Coturnix japonica: one gene and its partner. The protein of the gene in region 2 purifies or fractionates together with the protein of the main gene of each other region. This does not show direct contact. Links are inferred from orthologs where the notes say so. Each region holds a gene or a part of one and is shown on either strand. Other genes may lie near its edges. The genes, in order: BCAR3 and BCAR1.

Evidence for each region.
Region 1: the proteins of BCAR1 (region 2) and BCAR3 purify together in Homo sapiens (co-immunoprecipitation; 4 studies listed by BioGRID and IntAct, counting the BioPlex papers as one, with this or other methods). This does not show direct contact. The link is inferred for Coturnix japonica from reciprocal best matches to the Homo sapiens genes BCAR1 and BCAR3.

What each region holds. Positions count from the first base shown.
Region 1 is NC_029523.1:11,959,679-11,969,985, reverse strand, and holds the start of BCAR3 (breast cancer anti-estrogen resistance protein 3), read right to left. Parts: upstream 6,876-10,307; 5' UTR 6,855-6,875; coding exon 6,665-6,854; intron 151-6,664; coding exon 1-150. UniProt on the Homo sapiens protein: Acts as an adapter protein downstream of several growth factor receptors to promote cell proliferation, migration, and redistribution of actin fibers.
Region 2 is NC_029526.1:678,753-689,047, reverse strand, and holds BCAR1 (breast cancer anti-estrogen resistance protein 1), read right to left. Parts: upstream 6,239-10,295; 5' UTR 6,207-6,238; coding exon 4,854-6,206; intron 4,321-4,853; coding exon 4,171-4,320; intron 4,025-4,170; coding exon 3,917-4,024; intron 3,724-3,916; coding exon 2,575-3,723; intron 2,390-2,574; coding exon 2,300-2,389; intron 2,064-2,299; coding exon 1,548-2,063; 3' UTR 972-1,547; downstream 1-971. Other genes in the region: CFDP1 (craniofacial development protein 1), read right to left, coding at 9,386-9,476. UniProt on the Homo sapiens protein: Docking protein which plays a central coordinating role for tyrosine kinase-based signaling related to cell adhesion. Implicated in induction of cell migration and cell branching. Involved in the BCAR3-mediated inhibition of TGFB signaling.

The DNA of each region.
Region 1 (10,307 bases), on a different chromosome or scaffold from region 2:
TAGAGATGTCTTGAAATGAGTCTGAGCGATGCTCAGTTAGTGAAGGTTTGGTGGTCAAAAGGTCCATGGACGACGCTAATGAGAACTGATGGTTCACTGGGACATTTCTGGGAAGACTTGCAAATTTCCCTGCGGCTATCATTCTTGATTCTGGAGGAGAAAAAAATAATAATAATAATAAAATCAGTAAGAATTGAAGACCCATTTTAATGGAAATTAAATATTGTGATTAACAAAAGCACCTGTAAAGGAAACTGTTGATCACAGCCTGAACCTCTGATAAACCACCTGAGACAAGCAACGAGTCAGCTGTGGGAGCATGGGTGAAGGTAATTCAGCTGTGCTCCTGGAAGGGGTGAAGCTTAACTCCACCTCTCCTAGATCTCATTTAAGGACTGACCACTACCAAGGTAGCATCTCCTCCTGGAGATCACTCCTTCGTGAAGTTTTTGTAGTGAGCCTCAACATTGGTGAGCATCCATTTCAACTGAAAGCCTCAGCACTGGTGAGTCTTTTCTTAGATACCCTCTGGCTATTTACTCTGTAATTACAACTATACACTTGTATTATTCCAACTATACAGCACCTAGAACTGAACTGAACTTTGCTTTAACACAGTTATCTCCTTCAAGGCGTAGCCTGTACTATAATCAAGTCACATTCCACTCAACTGCATGTGTCAAACACATGTTTATTAACTTTTATGTACCAACTTTTTTAAAATTTTTTTTTCTTTATATCATCGGAGAACTTGGGCACCAACTTAAAATAATTAACAAAAAGCAAAAGTTTTAAGAGCATTCTGACAAAAAATAAGGGACACAACAGCTTGGTTTGGAAAAGTACATTTCTAAATCCAGTGGATGGCACAGTTAGGAAAAATCTTTCTGGACAGTCTTGCTCAAGTAATAAATCAAGACAAGAACCAGTCACACATTTCTAACTGAAAACGAAAGGGCTCTACTCTAGAGATAATGGCAGGAACAGATTACTGGAATTCTCTTCTGCAGCATGCACAGCCTGCTGGCTCAAATGGTTGTTGACAATAGGGATTTACATAGCTGTCAGTCTCTTTTTCAATCAGTTATAGCCTGCAGTACAGTACAGGTCTTTCTGTTATCATGAGCAAAAAACCTTGTGAGGCAAACACTTCAGACACACTAATGGATCCCGCTTCATCAAAAGGAAAAAACAACAACAAAAGCACACACAACCCCACCTACCTCACACTCACTTCATAGTATTACATTATAGAAGTCGAGATGCTTTGTCCTATCCAGGTATACTAGCCAACTAATGCCATTCTATGGAACAAATGACACAAGGTCAACCAACCCCACGCTATTTGATCCAGGCGGTAGCCAACCAGGTGTCTCCTAGGCAAACTGGAATAACCACAAGAGCAGCACAGACTGATAAACTGAAGGCAAGAAAGATTTTCTGCATTAGCTGACTGAGAGAATCTGTTTTGACTTGGCCTAGTTTCATGTCAGGAAACTAAACAAAACAAAGAGTAGTACCTCAAAGGCCTAGCAGCCTGGAAGACAGCTTCCAGCTACATGAGAATTCCTCTGGTTTTGGGAAATGCACAGGTGTTGCAACAGAATCAGAGCTGGGTCTATAGTCCTGCTCACTCCTCCAGCCTGAGCACCATAGGTACTAAGAAAGTGAGGCTGCATTGATACTATAGTTACTTCTGCTCAATGGTTGCTGTAACAGGCTTGGTTTTACAGTAACACTAAAACTGATCTCAAATTTATTCTATTTTCTTCCAGCTGTGTTGCAAATTCACAGGTTCCCAGAATTCCATCTCAAATTCCATCCCACTTCTCTCATATCAAAAGTCCTACAATAAATAGGATAATATTTGAATATGATGATCATTATGATAAATGATATTTAGGCTATGATTTTTTTAATCTTTAATTTGTCAAGGCTTCCAGCACAGCTGCTATGTACTCTAGCAGAAAAGCCTCTGTAAATGGCAGTTCTGAGTATCTGTTTGACTTTGGTCAGGTTTCTTGCTGCAAAGACTAGAAAAAGAGCTGAGAAGTTAAAATGAAATGTGTATGTTAGTTACATAGATCCAAATAATACTCAAAACTTGAAAGAAAGAAAGCCACACACTCACAAAAGTCCTTAATAAATTTTCCTATGGGCCCTTGTTGTGAAATACTGTTACCTCTTCATTTATCAAGTGCCTTGAAGATATGGTTTCTGATTGTCAGTACTAATAATATTGCATGATCAATTTCAAAATAAAACAAAGTGCTGCAAGGCCTTTGCAAATACAGATATTTGTATTACAAATATTCTAAAAAAAAACAACTGGTCCAGAGATAAGAAGCTCTAAAATGTAAATGTTTACCACAAAGCTACAGTTTCCTAACTAGAACAAACTGACAGAGCTCCTTTCCAGTAAGCTCAGCTTTATTATCATGGAAGAATAATAACATGGATCTCAAGCAACAAGCAGGTAAAACAATTAAAAAAAAAAAAAAAATTAAGCTTCTTAGAAGTCTCACAATCATTTGAAACCTCAACCTTAATAAGGTGTGCTTAATGTAAAAGAGCAAATATCACTTATAAAGGAATGGAAAAATGGAGGCCAAGTCACTTATATTTCAAAATCCGATGCTATTTTCCTTTTTGCGCTGAGATTCTGTACTTAACAATCATATTTTCTTATTGCTTTATTAAAAAACACATTCAAAACTCTGAGGTTTGACTATGTAAGTGTAGATCACCTAATCAGAAGCAATTTGCTTAGGCTTTTCTGCACGCTTCCACTAAGCTGAAATGAAACATATTTCATATCAATTGGTAGTAAAACTGAGTAGGTGTAAGTTTAACCAAAGAAAGCTTCAATTTAACAGCACCAGGTGAGCCGATGCTTACAATGGCAATACACTCTCAACAACTTTTACGGATCCTGTTTGAGGATTCACAAAGAAAGACAATGATTCCCTCTCCTAACCCAATCTCAGGATAATTATAGCAACTCAGTAAGTTTCCAATTCAATATTTACCAAATAAATGATGACCCTCTGAAATACACCATTTTTCTTTTAATTTCTCAGGCTCTCCTTAAAATGGAAAAACCAACCATACTTCTGTCAGTTATGCCCTAATCATTGTACCTCTTATAAAACTCACGCCCTCAGTAACATTCTACATTTCTCATATTCAACACCTAATTCTCAAATTCACATTTTTTATTTATTTTTTTTTACATTTTTTGAGTAATCAAGTTGAAGTTCCCAACCTAAGAAATACAATTAAGAACTTGTAGGACACTTAGCCAAAATTGTGTGTGCACAGAAGCTTTGATATGTCAAGGAATACTCCCCTCAAAAAAGGAAAAAACCAACCCAAAACAAAAGCCTACTTGCTCTTATACTATGTATTCTTAACAAATGGCGACTGAAATTACAGCAACTAACTTGATAAGTCTTGCCAAACTATCCATGTTTTTATTGTACTTAATGTAAGCAATGCAAGGAGGGAAGCTCTTCAGCTGAAGAATCTGAAATGTCTCAAATACTTGAGCATATGATTCAAAGAATGTCTGTCTTTGTTTGACTAGAGATAGGAAGAAAAACTGAAGAGGTTCTAAGAGACACAGCACTTAGAACATCTGCAATCATGCACTCAATAATGGAAATGGTAGAAATAATAGCAGAAGGACAGGCCAAAAGTAACTTAGATGAACAAATTCCTATTTGTCAAAATGTAGCATTTAACCAAACAGAGTGCTTCACGAGTCATGCAGGTTCCCTCTAGCTACATACAGTTTATTTCTTAACAGTAACTGTTAAACAACAACAAAAAAGGCAGTTTTTTGTTGTTTGTTTTTTTAAATGGAGAATGGTATTTCCCTTTTTCAGTCTGTAATTGAGGAACGTATGAGGGAATCGAACTAGATTCTATGTTCAGAAAATTGGAGGGAATTAAGTGTTTCCAGCTAACTTCTAACTTGTCTTTTTGTAACAACTGGGGGAAAGGGGAATACAAATTAAGTTATCTTTAGAATCAACATGGCCCTTACAAAACCTTATGAGATTGCACACAGAATGACATACATATCTGATGGGCAAGATCAAACATGAACAGAGCTCTAACCCAGCAGGATGGGCGCTCTTCACATTGCTCAAAACAAAAAAGAAAAAAAAACAAAAAAGAAAAAAAAAAAGACATGAAGAATAAAACAAACTTTGCTTTCTCCAAAATTACACACAAAAATCCTCTTGGAATGCAAATATATATGCTGCTCTGAAAATAATGCTTCCTATTTATTTTCAAGGACACCACAACAGATACAACAAACACGATAACTATCCTATAAAGAAATTCTCAGCTACGAAACACTATTTTTCAACACAGTCACTACCACTAGCCATGCATTTTTGCTGGTGATGAACAAGAAGCTGCATGCTGTGGTCTGCATCAGTGGAGATGACCCACTGTTGCTGTTGTCACTACTGAAACACACCACCCACTGTCTCATTGTGCTCACATCCATCGCATGGTGTCCATAAACATTCAGTAAGTGGCAATGAATGTCAGTGGATGCCATTTCTTCCACACAGAGTGGAAAAGTTGACACACCTTTGCTTCACGTACACTTCCATATCAGATGCCATTCTGTCTGACCGCCCCCTTGCTGCCATCTGTCCCATGGCAAAAACATGTAATGGAATATTGGTGAGAAACTTCAACCTCTACAACCAACACACGCCTCTGCCACAGTGGGCAAACACAATAAAATAGCAGGCATTGCTGTTAGAGCAGCCCTCATACAAACTTTCTGGTTCAGACTTCATAAAAAAAATTTGGATGCAATTCATAGACTGAAGTGTCACTCAGCTTTGACATGGGTGCAAAAGTAGACAGCCTTTCCATCCCACAAGGAAACAGAACCAGTGCCATTGGCTGCTACCTTGATTTCACACCCTATAGGAGGAAACATGAAGGAAATCTCTAGTTTGGTGTCAGAGATTTATGAATGGCTTAGCCAACAGTCCAAGGCTGTATATGGAAACTGGAAAAGCAATTTCCAAGCTCTGAATCAGACTCAATCAAGCTGTCTTAAAACTCTGAATTATATCCAAACCAGATTTAGATATTAGATCAATACAATTCTGAGAGAAGTACGAATTTTCTAACAGGGAGAACTACCAATACTTCAGACTTTCTGAAGTCTAGACTAGGTGTTATCATATCACCATCAGCCGCTTTGCTCAGTCTTACCACTTCTTTATCATCATGCGCACTACAAAGCTAAGAGGGCAAGAAAATGGTTTAGTATATCCAAATCAAAGAACTGTGTTATGATCTCAGGTCTTTATGAGATGGAGACAACTTTCATAAGAACCCCAGTTAATTCTGACACAGCAGATTTCCTTACAACAGTCTTCTACCTTCCCTCCAACCCTACAAAGCAGTAATAGTAAATACAGACAGATACAGAACTTTAATCTTACTGTTGAGTTACCTGGTATGTTTGCACATGCTACACAGATTTTGTGTTAATTATTTGCTGAGAAGCAATATAGAGTCATCTTCACTAGTATAAAAAGAAACAAGAAAAGACTTTTTCTTCTCCCCAGATGGCTACAATCTATATTTTATGGGTTTTTGTTAAGATAAACTTACGCAGTAGCTGCAATGGGTCACAGGACTTTGAGAAGAATATGAAGGCTCAAGAACTTACGATAAGCAGAAGTAGATTGAGAAAGCATACACAATAGTACAAAGGCTTTAAGCTGCTATCAGAAAACATGCAAGTCTGTCAAACATCAGGAACTCCACACAGGATTAAAGACAGGTCAGTGCTTCCAAAGGGTCCTGGGGAGTTACCAAACTGTTCTCATTCTGAAGCAATAGAAAGCATGTAGGCCAGGACAAGTTATCTCTGAATTTGCTCTGTTTTGAGATTAAACAAAGAGATAAAACCCATGCTTTTCTTTCTGAGTTTTCATACTTAAAATGCCCTTATATATTAAAAAATAATAACAACAATAATAATAAAAAAGCCATAAAAAGCAATCAGTGAAGAGGGATCAATAAACAAGTAGATCTCATCATTTAGCATATGCTATAATCTTATAAGCTTCGGTACCCAACCAGTTAGCTCTGTACTGCTGAAGCCTTAACTTGCAGTGAACATTTTATCTCCATTTAGCTGGATGAAACAGAGTTCACTAAGGTTACAGTCCGATTTAAGTGCTGCTCAGCTAATGCTTCGAAACACAACTTTTGACCCTCCTCTAACATAGGAAGTAATTTATTATTTTCCTGCTGTTGTACTCCCACGATTTTAGTAAAAGAAAATCCTACACTAACTTCAAATTAAATAGTTCAACGTTTTTTTCAGCAGTAAGTATGTGCTTCGTGATTTGGAACAACCACCTTACCTACACTGCAAATTTGGACAGAAAGCAGCGCTTACATACAAGCTCCTCTTTAACCGACCAAAAAAGACGGCGGCAGTATTTCCTTTCTCCCTACGGAACAGCTCGGTACCCCCAGCTCATCGATCTGTCCACCTGCGAGCACCCGCTGCATTTCCAGGGGCGCCGATCCCGCAGGCCGCCGGTTCCCGTACAGCACGCGGCCGGGCCGGGGAGCGGGAGCTCGGGGGCACATAAACTCTCGCACAAACCCTGCTCGTCGTTCTCCAAGCCGAAGGAAAACGCCGTCCCAGCAGCTGCCGGTCTGATCGCTCCCGTTCTGGCTCGGCTTTCCGGAGACCGGCTGCAGCTCCGCTCCCTGCCGGGCGGTCTCCCCCCGGGCCCGCCGGACTGCTGGGGCGAGGGGGCGGCCGGGGCGCCCGCAGTAACCGCCCGGGGCATTCTCGATGGGCCCAGGGTTTCGCCCTGCCGCGGCGGAAGCCGCAGCGAACGCTTGCACCAACTTGCCCCGAAGAAGAGCGGATCGCGATAACTAAAGCAAAGGTGACAACCTCAGCCCTCCGAACTCCTTATCGCTCACCCGTCGGCAAGCACAGACGGCGCCTTATACCCCGGCCGCGGACCTTGGTTCCTGCGTTCCGTGACTGCCGCCCTCACCCCAGCGCACAGCCCGACCCCGGTGCCACTCACCTGCGGGGCTGCGCGGCGCCGCCCGAGCCCGGCCGTGCGGGAGTGAGTCCGGCACAGCGCGGACCGCGGGCGCTGTGAGCAGCACGGGCAGCGGGGGCGCTGAGTTACGACGCCCCGCCCCTCGGTTTGCTGCCGGGACACACAGCCCCGTACACACAGTGACCTCTCGCTGCTCCTTTTTCCTCGGCTTCAAGAACTTGCCTTCCGTAATTTCTGTCCCAAATTAGCACTGCAGAGCTAGAATTAACGGCTTCCCAAATCCGCCCTGCTGACGGACAATTCAAAGAGCATTGCATACATGCCATTCGCCAACTCCTTACATCAGCAGACTTCCCCCTCCTCCCACCACGTTACAAGCAGTTATCTGGGCAACAGGTTGGCGGACAGAACAAAGGCTCAAACATCTGTGAGGGATCGTGCGCTAGCAGACCAGCTGAGAGCAGCAAACTCACCGCCCTCTTTCCTCCGAACCAGAACTGCTGAGCTAGTTCCCTCTTTGCTACCAAGAACAGCACGGTCTGACTCTGCAGCCAAACATCCACCCCGCTCCCCCCTGCGTTTTTAACATCACCTCTGAGATACACACTCAAGCCTTACATCTCCTTTCCCCAGATAATCCCATTTTTTGCCTATTTCAATTCAGCCATGGTCTGTGTACATCTGGCATTCTACCGTTTGCCTCAATCTTCCCTAATATTGCTTCTGGGAGCCCTAATAAAATGCCCGACACAGAAGCAAGGCTATCACACTAACTGCTTTGCCTTGCTGCCCATCACTGTGAGCCAGCCAGCAGGAAATACCCTTAGCTGCCAATACCTTTCATTTTCATTTATGCAATTGGTTGAGCTCTTTACTTTAAAGCCAGAGGCCTTGATAAGCACTAGCTGGGAGTTCATTCTTGGCATTCAGTGGCTGATTACAGTGATTCAGAATAGCTTCTTGAAACACAGGGCTCGTAAGGAAAAAATGCTTCAAAAATAGAAGATACATGTTTAATAATTTTGATGACACTTTCCCTCTTCATCCAACAGTTCAGAAATATCTTAATAGCCAACCTATTGGCATTAACATTTCAGAAGCAAATATTTATCTGCCTAACTAAGCATCTTATTGATTCTGACATTAAATACTTGATTCCCATTGGCTGTACAATTCCTCTGTTTCAGGAGATCTCTTGCACACATTTTCTTCATTTCATTTCTCCTGTTCATGAAAACCAAAACTGGGGCAAAAAAAAAAAACAAAACAAAACCAGAAAGAGAAGTTGAGGGATCTGGATTATACTTCCAATATTGTGAGCCATGTACTTTCTGTATGACCTGTACTTACATTTTTGTAACACATATCACAGTGATAAATATTTTCACAGGAGAGATCTTGCTTCTCCACATGTTCCACAGTTCAGTGAAAAATATCTAACATCACACAAACAATTCAGATCAGTTACCATGTAAGATGGTCTCCACAGAAAACAGTGCTACAACTCCAGGAAACTTTCAGGCACTGCCATTACATAGGAAGTAATGTCGTGGTTTGTTGTCACCTTTTATGAATAAGACTTAGAAAAGAAGTTGCAATTTCCTTAGTAACATGACTGAGTGCTCAGTAATGGAACTGGTAGCTGGGCAGCACTGCATAGACTGTGATTACTCTTGCATGAGTCATTACATCCTTTTCCAAAGAGTTGACTTTGCCTTCAAATCAAAATGAACACTGGCCTTTTCCTTTATGTACAACACTGTACACAATGTGCACATATTTTAAAGAAGATTTATCTGCAACCTGTAAGAATGAAGAATTCATAGTACCACATTACGTTACTGTGAGTTACTACAGTAAACTAGAGAGTTAATTGGAATCAAGCTAGATTAGAGTCCTTGTTGTCATTTTTTGGTGCATTAACACTGTATTAAATCTACTTCAGAAATGGGTTTATTGAGATGTTATTAGAACTCTGGAAGCACTAGTGCCCTGAAGCAACTACAACACCTCTGCCAGCTCTTTCTATCAGTATTCTGACCTGTCATAGCCCTTACTCATCTGTTTATCTACATAACGTCATGTTGTCTGCTCGTCACCTTGCTGCAAAACTTCTAGTGGTGAATCACCGTACTTCACGATATCAGATGGGGGAGGCTAAGAAAACAATGGTGCGCAGAACACTGTTGACCACACATCACATGCAGCTGTGGGCACATATGGTCACCACTGACTTCTGCTTTCAGAAGGAAAGGACTATGTACAGTTGTATATTTTCACCTAATGCAAAGACATCGATACGAACATAAACAAGTAATTGAGGAGGAACAGAACTGACAGCTGAGACAGTCCAAGAACTGTGCTGTTGTAGGTTGTTCACCTTAACTGTGCTAGGAACTGAGTACTTCCTTGAGGTACATGAGGTTCACAAGAGATCGTTTACAGAGTGTGTTTAGCTCACAGTTAGAAAAAGAGATGATGCAGAGATTCACTGGAACTTTTCAGTTTAACCTTAAACATCAGAATTACAGCCCTAAAATAACTGGGAAGAAATCTATCTACTTTAAAAGTGCTGCTGTTCAGCTGAAAAGATAGAACCCAGATTAACTATGTAAGATGAATACAGGGGATGCATAGCTGTTCTTAACTTCTTAATGAACAAAAGCTAAAGCAAGTTTGTACTCTGGACTTGTCTTAGAAGAGAAACAATCCAAACAAGCAAAATGTTACATGCCCTCAACTCCCACAGATGCCACATGGAAAAAATAATGTTCAACATAACTGTTGGTGAGGAAATCAAGAAGTTTTTATAGCTGCCTGCTGCTGAATTCTACGTGCCATGAGTCAGCTAATATCAGACACTCTTAGAAGCAAAAAGAAAAGGAGAGTAAAATACAGCCCTTGTCGGAGAAAATAAAAATTGAAAGATTATCAACTTCAACAACTACCAATTATTAAGTAAACCCATTCTGCACTGAAAAAATAAATGATTGCACATATTCTATGAGAATAACATGTTCAACAGCACCACTTCCAACCTTCAGTTTAGCACTGAAAATTATGTCAAACAACTTGTGTTGGTTTAGATTAGACAGACCAGTTTCAGAAGTCTGAATTATAAAGTTAAAACTGCACTTAAACCACTTGTTGCTGATCACTTTTGGCAAATGACAGTCTGGAAGAAAATATCAGAAAAAAAGCTATATAAGGTTTTATAAGCTCCTT
Region 2 (10,295 bases):
GCCTGGGAATGTCGGGCTGCAGCCAGAAAGGGTGGGACTCGGGGGGGCTCAAAGGTCCTATGAAGGACCCATGAGGGGTCGGTGAGGGGTCCCAGGGGTTCCCAGCCCCAGGGCTGCCATGTGCTGGCAGTGCTGCTGACTCCGGGGCATATCAGGTTCCCTCACCCCATTGTCGACCCCAGGTGGATGCCCCACTGCAGCATGGCAGCCATGGGAACCTCTGGAATAATACAGGGCTAAATGGGATGCATGGAATAGGAATGAGTTCGGGATGGGGATGGTTACACAGAGAGGGCCTGGGTGGAAATGGGACAGGGATGGGAGGGCTGGTGGGACAGGTTTGGGCAAAAGATGAGCAAGGATTGGGTAGGGACAGGGATGTATGGGATGTGGGATCGGGCCTCATAGGTGCTGTGGTCCCTATGGTGCAGGACACAGTGGTGTCTCGGCTGAGGGTGGTGATCAGCACTTTGGCACACAGGAACAGGGCTGGGGAATCACCGTGGGAGCCGAGGCGTGGCACATAGGAATTGGGCAGGAGGTGGGTGCACAGGGTTGGGGCTGTCCCGAGCACCAGATACATGCTGGGGCACTGCATCAAGCCCTGTGAGCCCACAGCTGGGCTCTGGGTGCCCACGGCCCAGGGCTACCACGGCACCTGCTGTGCTGGCACTGCCTCCATCTGCACAGCAGTTACACTGCAACCCAGGTGTAGGTGTGAGGAGCACAGCAAAGTGTGGGTGGCTGTGGGCTGTGCAGCACTGCATCTTCACCGCTGCTTGTGCCCACAGCCAGTGCCACATCCTGTTCCACATCAAGATGCTATGAACAAACCCATGTTATTGCTTTGCCATAAAGCACGTGGCACCCCAGCCATGCTCCAGCACCGCTGCTTTTGGGGGAAAGGACACCCCAGTTGCACACACAGGGCGCCCGATCCCAGCACCGCACACACACAGCCAGGTGCCAGGGGAATTTCTAGGCAAATCTTTATGCTGCTGTGGGACCAGGGGGTTGAGTTTTGGGGGCGGCTGCAACTCCATGGCTCCGGGAACTGTGAGGAAGGAGGAAGCTTCCCCAGTGTTCAGAAGGCACCAATGTCGGTTTGCATTTCAATTACAGTTGGTACAGCAAAACCAAGACTTGAAATGCAAAGGTTCAAGCCCCTCCTCCCACCCCGGCTGCCCCTCACCCCTTCCCTTGTCACTCAGGACAGCACTCTTCATCTCCCTACTGCTGCTGCTTGCCTGGCTCTGTCTGTGCCACAACACTACAACAGATGGCCGATGTGCCGATGGAGCCCACAGCATCACCCCAGGACACTGGAGCAGCCCCACTGCCAGCCCCACTTCAACTGGAGCAGGGGAACGAGCACAGAAGGGAGAGATTGCAACCCTGGGCACTGCGGGCATGGCTCTGAAACCAATGTCGAGAGGATGAGAGGGGAGGGGGATGACAGCTGCGGCCCCTCACCCCTGTGTGAGTCTCTATGTACAGGTCTGTTACGCTGGGCAGAGGGCAATGGGAGGGGGAACAGCACAGGGCCATCACATGGCAGCCAGCTGGCCCAGCACCCTCCTGAACTGCTGCGTGCTGTTGGCAAGGTCCTTGACGCGCTCCACCATGTCCTTGGAGGCGGCAGGTGACGGGTAGTGCAGCGCAGCCGCTTTGGTGCTCACCACGATCTCCTTGAGCATCTCGCACAGGAGGTTGCTGTAGTGTGTCACCTTGTGCCGCACGTCCTGCGCCTTGGCCTGGCGGGACAGTGTGTCGCCGATGAAGACGAGCTTGTGGGCGCTGAGGATGATGAACTTGCTGTGGGCCACGAAGATTTTTGGGGGCTGGTTGGTGCTGACAGCGGTGAAGAAGGCGTCAATAGCATTGGTGAGCGTGGTGAGGTTGGCCTCGCACTGCTCCAGGTAGAAGAGGAGCAGCTGGTGGTCGGCGGCACACAGGGCACCACCGCCCCGTACAGGGCCGTAGTGCTGGGGAGGGCTCCAGTTGGACAGGTCGTTGTCAATGGGGCGCGTCACCTCCTGCTCCAGCCGCTCAAACTGCTTCAGCTATGGGGAGAGATGGGTGTGAGGACAGGCAGGGTGGCCACCGAGCCCCACAGCGATGGCTGCACCCCAGGGGATGCCACGTGGGACAGCGCCCCGATCCTATCTGGCATCAGAGAAGAGCCGGACAGAGCCATGGGGAGCTCACGGCTGTGGGAATGGGGAACAGGAGCCCAACCCTACTGCCCTCCCCACCCCAGGGTCCCCACTGAGCCATGCTTATCCCCCAGCCCCATTACCTGCTGGTGCTCCAACTGGTCCTTGCTCTGCCGGATAATGTTGCCTTTCTCCAGCAGCTCCTTCTGCGTCTTCTCAAACTCCTCCTTGCCCTGAAAGAAAGGAAGGAGGGTGAGAAGGGGGAAAACCACAAGCCCTATCAGGATGGAGCCCCCCAGCCCTGCACCAGGATGCCCTCAGTTCCTACAGCCATAACAGGAGGGGAAAAGCAAGACCCAGATGAGGAGACAGAAATCCCACCCACGTCACCCACAGGGTGCCCCCAGCCCGCACCCACCTGGAGGTGCACGTAGTCATAATCCTCCATCCAGCCGCTCTCGTGGTTCTCGTAGGGACCCTCGGGGGACTCCTGTGCCAGCAGCTTGGGTGGGGAGGGCAGGGGCCGTGACTGGATGCTGCTGGCCTTGTCAGAGGGGTGCGTGGGCCCGTGGCCATTGCCCTCTGGCGCTGGCTTTGTCCGTTTGAAGAGCAGAGAAGCATTGCCATGCAGGAAGGAGGCGAGCTGCTTGGTGTCATCGGGCACACCACGCGAGTACATGACGAACAGCTCCAAGTCGTCCGTGCCCGGTTTGCCAGCCACCAAGGCACTGGGAGCCCAGTGACATGCATCCAGCGCCTGGCTGTGCCGCCCCAGGGCCTGGTAGACCTCCTCCATCTTCTGCAGCTGCTTGCTGAGCTTGGCGTACAGTGAGCGGTCCGAGGCCTGGGCAGCGTTGCCCACTGCCCCCCGGGCAAACTCCAGCAGCTCCCTGAGGGCTGTTTGAACACCCTCGGCTGCCAGGCGGATGCCGGCAGCATTGGCTTCCATGTGCTCGGGGCTGCGCCAGTTGGTGCTGATGAAGGACATGAGGCTGGAGACGGCACCGCTGACGCCGAGCTGGAGCTTGGCCAGCATCTCCATGGCAGCATCCAAGTCCAGGGAGAACTCCCTGCCGGCTCCTTTGGCCGGCTCCTTTACGGGCACAGTGTCCAGTGAGGAGGTGGAGATGTTGCTGCGGGTGCTGCCCGTGCTGGAGGCCGAGAGACGCTTGGTGTCAGCTGCCTTGGCCTCGCGGTCCACCTGTGGTGGGACATCGTAGATGTACTCACCCTCCATGTCCATCGAGCCCTTGCTGGGGGCGTGCAGGTCCCGCGGCACATCGTACACCTCCTGCAAGGGGAAGGCCGACCCCCCCAGCTTCTTGAGGCTGGGAGGCACGTCATAGATCTCGTGGGACAACGAGGGCTCGGGGGCGGCTTTCCCAGCCGCTGGTGGCACGTCGTAGACATCCTCTGGCAGGTAGGAATCCTGCTGGGAGAGCACCGGGGGGTGGCGGGGGGGCTCGAAGGCTTTCTGCTTGGAGAAGGCGGGGGGCACGTCGTACGTCTCCTCCCGCACAGGGCCGTCTGGCACGTCCTTGCTGACGGAGGGTGGCACGTCATATACCTGCAAGGGCACCACCACGTAGTGTCAGTGCAGCTGGAGACACACATGCACACCAGCCCCGCTCCCCTGTGCCCATAAGAACAGCTCTGGGCGTGCAGTGGGCTCGTGGAAGGAGAGGTGCACAGCGCAATCCTGCAGCACCACCACCCTCACGTGTCTCTTTTGGTGCATGAGCTTCCCCTGCGGCACTTACGGTTTGGTGCAGGTTCTTCTCCACGCTGGGGGGCACGTCGTAGATCTCCTGCCCTGGGTCCTGCCCATTGGGACCCTTGACCGCCATGGGGGGAGTGTCATAGACCTGCTGGGAAGAGATGGGATGGTGTGAGGGGCAGGAGAGTGGCCCCAGCACACACACAGTGGAGACCACGGCTCAGCCCAGCACTGGGTGCCGCATCCCTGCAGCCCATCACCCCACAGCCCCACATGCAGCCCCACATCCCTGCTGACCTGGCTGGGTAATGCACCGCGTGCAGGTGGCACATCGTAGATCTCCTGTGAGCCCGAGGAGAGCAGGTGGCGGGGAAAGTCGTATTCATCCTTCTCAGCCTTGGGGGAGTCATAGACGTACGCCTGCCCCACGCGGGTGGGCAGCAGCACCTACGAGAGAGGGCAGGGCTGAGCCTGGCGCACCCCCCGCTGCTGCCCCCCGAGCCCATCTGGGAGCACCGTGCGGTGGGTGCCCACGCGAGGGCGCTCCCCGTCCGGCCTGGAGCTGTCACCGCTCCGTGCAGTGACGCTGGAGGGACGGAGATGAGATCACCGGTTATTTATAGCAGCCAGCCTCGGCTACAGACAAAGCCCGGCCGCACGGCCGCCCTGTGCGATGAGAATGGAGACCTGAAGGTTAATTGTGGCACCGAGGGACCCAGCGATGGAGGACGAGCCCAGACCCCCACCCGCATCTCGGTGCAATGTGGTGCGGCAGCCATAGGAGGTTGTGGGATGCTCGCAATCAATGGGGTGCCCTGCCCACGAGGCACGGTGCTCAGTGTCCCCTTTTTCCCACTGGATCTTCCAGGGAAACGCAGCTCATCTCAGCCAAAAGCGCTTCACTCCCCCCCTCCATAACCCCACAACAGACTGGAGCCCCACAGCATCAACCCACCGCCGTACCTGGACCCCCATCCTACCTTTCCAGAGGGCTTGGGCCCTTCCCAGCTCCTCGCATCCAAAGATGGGGGCACTTGGTAGATGTCTTGAGCCTGAGCCGAGGGAGGGACCTGGTAAATGTCCTGGGGGGGGCTGGCAGAGCCCGCAGGGAAAGCGTCCACCGCCTGGCTCAGGGACGGCGGCACCTGGTAGATGTCCTGCCCGGCGCTGGGGAAGCCGTGGGGCGGCGTTTGCTTGGGGTAGGATGGGGGCTGCTTGGCCGGAGCCGGGGGAAACTGTCCAGCGGGTGCCGAGCCCGAGTACAGGCCCTGCTGCCCCTTGCCAGGAACCGGCATCAAGTAGACGTTGTCCCCTTGTGGCGCGTAGGAGGGGTGCATGGCGGTGTACTGCGAGGCGGGCGACAGCGGCGTGTACCCCCCTTGGTGGTGGTACGGCAACGTGGGCTGTGGTGCTGGCGGTGCCTGGCCCTGCCCCGGCCCGGCCGCCTGCTGCTGCTGCTGCTGCTTCTTGTCGTACATCCCCACCAGGATCTTGAGGCGGTTCCCCGGCACGATGCCCTGCCGGCCGTGCAGCGAGCAGAGCCACCAGCCGTCCAGGCCCTGCGTGTTGCGCTCCAGCACCGTCATGATGTCGCCTTTGCGGAAGGAGAGCTCGTCCGGGGACTCGGCCACATTGTCGTACAGCGCTTTGGCCAGCACGTTCTGCAAGAGAGCCCCGCAACGGGCCGGGTCGGGACTCATCGCGGATGGACTCGGCGGCACCAAGGGCGCCCGGCACCCGACGCGGCCCCGGCGCTGCTCCTCCTCGTCCCGGTTCAACCCACCCGTCCCGGAGCCGGCGCCGGGACGGGGCCGGACCCCCCGCGCCTCCCGGTGTCGGGGACCTCCTCTGCCTTTCCCTCCCCTTCCCGCCGGGGAGGAAGTGCCATGGAGGTGACTCAGCCCGCACCGAGAATTCCCCCCCGGCCGCCGGGCGGGCACAGGGACACGCGTGTGTGTGTCCGTGTCCGTGTGTCCGTCCCGCTGCCGGCCCGTCCCGCCGGTGATGCCGCGTTGCCCCGCTCGGTGCCCCCTCCCTCCCCCGCTGTCCTTCCTCCTGCCGCCGCGCTCGGGTGGATCCCGCGGTGCCGGCAGCGCTGCGCAGCCCCGCAATGGCAGCGCCCCCCGCCCCCCGCGGGACGAGCCGTGCCCGGACCGGGCGGGCAGCGCCGACCCCGTGGCCGGAGGGGGCTGGGTCGGGTCGGGTCGGTGACGGCCGCGCTCGGTCCCGGAGGCCCCGTCCGGCCCTTCCCCACCCGACGGGCCCCGCTCCCGGCGCTCGGTCCCCGGCTGATCACGGATCCGCTCCGACCGCCGCTCCCGGCCCGGCCCCATCCGCCCGCCCCCGCCGCCCCCCGCTCCGTCCCGCAAGGTGACCCCGCTCACCAGGTAGTTCATCTTCGCCTGGCGGGCGCGGCCCCGCGGCGCTCAACGAGCGGCGCTACTGCGTGTCCGAGAGGCGCGGCCCGCGGCGGGCGGCCGGAACCGGGATGGCGGTGGCGGCGGCGGCGGCCGCGCCGGAGGGATCATTCCAGCGCCGTGCCAGCACGGGCCCGACCGCCCCGCCCCGCCCATGGGCCGCGACGCACCGACGGGAGGCGGCGCTGCGGCGGGAGGAGCGGGAGGGAGCGGGGCCGCGCTGGGGGCCGGCAGGGGAGGGGAGCGGGGGGGGGGGGGGGGGGGGGGGGGGGGGGGGGGGGGGGGGGGGGGGGGGGGGGGGGGGGGGGGGGGGGGGGGGGGGGGGGGGGGGGGGGGGGGGGGGGCGCGGGGCCGGGGCCGCGGTCCTATCGCCGCCCGTCGGGGCTCCCCGGCCCTTGTAGGGCTCTTCCTGCCCGTGGGAGGCACGAGGCCGGTCGGGCGCTGCCCGTCGAGCCCGCGATGCCGCCCCGCAGCCGTTCGTCCGCTCCCTCGGGGCCGGCGGAGCTGCGGTATCGTCCGCAGACCGCAGGCGGAACTCGGCGGCTTCCGCTCGGCGGTGATTGCGGGGCCAGCCCCGGGCACGGGCACCTCAACGGGCGGCAACACAGCCGGGACGTGCCCGGGGGAGCGCCCCGTGCTGCAGCAGCCCCGGGAGGTCGGTGCCCAAACGGAAACTAAAGGCTGCGGGACCCCGGAGCTGTGTGCCGTGTGTATGGGGACGGGCTGCTCACTGACGGCACAAGAAATGGCTTCAAACTAACAGAGGGAGCTTCAGACCGGAGCTAAGTTAGAGGTTCTTTACAGTCAGGGCGGTGAGGCAGTGGCACAGGCTGCACACAGAGCTGGTGCTGCCCCATCCCTGCACACAGCCAAGGTCAGAGAATGGGGCTGTGAGCACTGATGGAGCTGTGAGTGTCCCTGCTCAGTGCAGGACGCCTTTAGGATCCTTCCCACTCGAACCATTCTGCGATTCAATGATCCCATGACATGTCAGTGAGCCCAGCACACAGTGGGGCACAGCTCTGTGGGACCATCACATGTGGGAGGGGTGGCACTGTGCCCTGCGTGGGGCTGAAGCTGCCCGGTGGAGCAGAGGCCCCGCATGGACCCACACGGACCCACACGGACCCACATGGACCCACACGGACCCACACAGCTTTTGGCTTCTGGCTTTTGGCTGCTTCCTCGCGGCTCCATCCTTGGGAAAGCTGCCTCCCGCCCCCCGCAGCAGCAATAGGATTACACGGCACTGAGTCTCCTAGCAATGAACGGATAAATAAATCCTGTAAGGCAGCCGGGGATTTATTAGACTTCAATATTGGGGAAATAATGAGGACATTCCCGTTGGCTTGTAATATCACGGGACCCAACAGGATCACAACGGGGCTTTATCCCCTCGCCTTTCCAGGGGCAGAGATGTTTTGTCAGGCTGCAGATACAGCCCAAAGGGCTGCCCATGTCCTGCCACGACCCACAGCTCGTCCGGGGAGAAAACAGCCACGTTCCCGTTCTCTGCAGCCGCACAATGGGGAGGATGGGATGGATCCCACACGGGACCCCACAGCGGAGCCGTGGGGCAGGCGCACACAATGGCAGCCTTGTTTGGGGCCGAGCACAAGGGGCCGTTCAGCAGTGCCCAAACTGCTCCCAGCCCACGGGGACACGGCGGCCATTCAAGGGGATGCAGTTGGGGGCTGTGGGCCAGGCCCTCTGCGGGCAGGTGGTGCCAATAGCCAACAGAGGGCTTCTCTCCAACGCTTTATCCCTTTTTTTCCTCCCCCAGTTTTTTCTCCCCCAGTTCCTAGGCAGCCAAGCTGTGTTTTCTGGAGCCCTGTAAATCACTCTTCATCTTCAGGAAAGGGAGGCAAGAAACACATGATCCAAGCGAGGAAACATGCAGGACGCTGGGAGAGCTGGCAGAGGACAGCGGAGCTGAGTCCTGCGCTGGAACTGGAGCTGCCACCACCCGCTGTCCTCCACCCTGCCCGGAGTGCAGCGGGACAGCATGGGGGTGGCCTGGGATGGGGGTCAGAAGTGCAGCCATTCCCTGCTGTACGAAGCCACTGGCCTGGAAGTGTCGGGAGGTGCAGATGTCCATCCCAGCAGCCCCACTTTAGTGCCATCCCATTTCAGTTGAAGCAGGTTGATAAGGGCTCACCCTGTGTGTAACACGGACAAGGGCTGCGGCTCCCTGAGCACGTGGTGTTTTGTTCGTGTCCATTCTCAGCGCATCCCCAGCACAAGGGCTGACTCAGCAGCCGACATGTGAGCCCGGAGCTCAGCCCAGGCTCAGGGCTGAGGCACAGGGCCAACGCCAGCAGCAAGGACGAGGCTGGTGCTGGTGTGGAACAGTGCAGGGGATGGCTGTGTGTGCCCCTGCCCTGCAGCATCCCATGGGGACAGATGGGAGGACGATGGGCACGCAGGAACCACGCAGTGATTTCCACAATCATGGTCATGCGTTTATAACAGCAACCCTCAGTTTCTCTGCCCCTCTGCTTCCCAGAGCAGCCAGGCTGTGAGCACACAGAGCACCAGGATGGAATACTTTATTCACGTGAACAGACCCCGGGCTGGCCTGCCTGCTGCAGCTGCTCTCAGCTTCTCGATGGAGCAAACAAGGGAGGATTTCTTCATCGGCTTGCTTCAAAACCCCCAGCACCGTCAGACCCCGCAGACAAGTGCAGACAGTTCAGCTTTGTCTGGGCAAGAGCGAGGAGGGGCAGGGGAGGCTGCAGGGCTGGCAGAGCGGGGAGCAGGGCTCCAGCCCCGCAGCCTGTGCACGTGCAGCAGCCACAAAGCCTTCCTGCAGCCCCTCACCACCACACATGTCAGCAGAGCTGGATTCTGGTCAGCGTGCAAGCACGGCAGCACCCAGCGGTGGCAAAGGATCGGCACCATGGGGCTGCTCCCGTGAGCTGCCAGGTGATGGGACCCTTGCAGCACACCCTGCCCACTGACAAGCACCCTCTCCAAACATTACAGTAAAAGGAAAAACCTGCTGGGATGTGCAGGCTTGGGTAGAGAATATGTTCTGTGCCCGGTGGCCAGGCAGGGGCACAGGGCCAGTGGGACCCCACGGCCATCCCCGGCCCTCAGGGCTTCATCCTGCTCAGTCTGATGTCACGCTCAATCTCAAACTGCCTGTGGTCCACGCGCTCCAGGAACGCCTTCCTCTCGATGTACCTGTGGGGAGCAGAGGCAGAGATGGTGTTAGCAGCACCTATGGCTGGAACACGGGGACCCAAAGGGACGGGCAGAGGGAAGGGGTGGCTGCCTCTGCCCTCCCGCTCCATGCACCAGGCATCTACTAAGCACTGCAAGGAAGGAAGCGAGCACAAAAAGCACCTTGCTGCTTGTTTATGCCGTGCAGCTGAATTTTAATGCACTTTGCTGCAAACCCTTGCCACGGACAGCCCGGGGCTGTCGGGGCTGTGCTACTAATTAACCTACAGAGGGAGCGAAATTGCAATTCAAAACAGGAGCGGTAATTGAATCATCACAATTGTTTCGTATTTGTTCTGCAGTGGCAAACACTGGGCTGTCACCACAAGGTCATTGTGCTCAGGCCCAGCTCAACACAAGGCACGCGAGCCGCTGTGTCTGGCTCATTCCTGCCTGCGAGCACGACCCTGAGGAAGGATCAGCATTGCCATGCCCTGCCATTCATCCCAATTTGTGTCAGCAGCTGAGCTCCCTGCGTTGGTCCCCGGCAGCAACCCTGCTCACATCTCAGCCCTCCCTGTGCTGACAGAAGTGGGTCAGCTCCTTGCTGCCATGCCCAGCTCAGCGGCACCACTCGGTGCCACCAGGACCATGCGCTGCCCTTGGAGGAGGCTCTGGCCACCTGAACCAGGCAAGACGAGTGGAACGTGTGCTGAGACCCCTGCAGCACAGCGGCTCAGGAAAGGCGTTGGGGGAGTGCTGCTTCCTGTTGTCCCCACGAGTGACCTGTGCCTGGGGGCAGGACAGGAGAGGCCAGGGGAAGGAAGCTGGGGGGGGGGT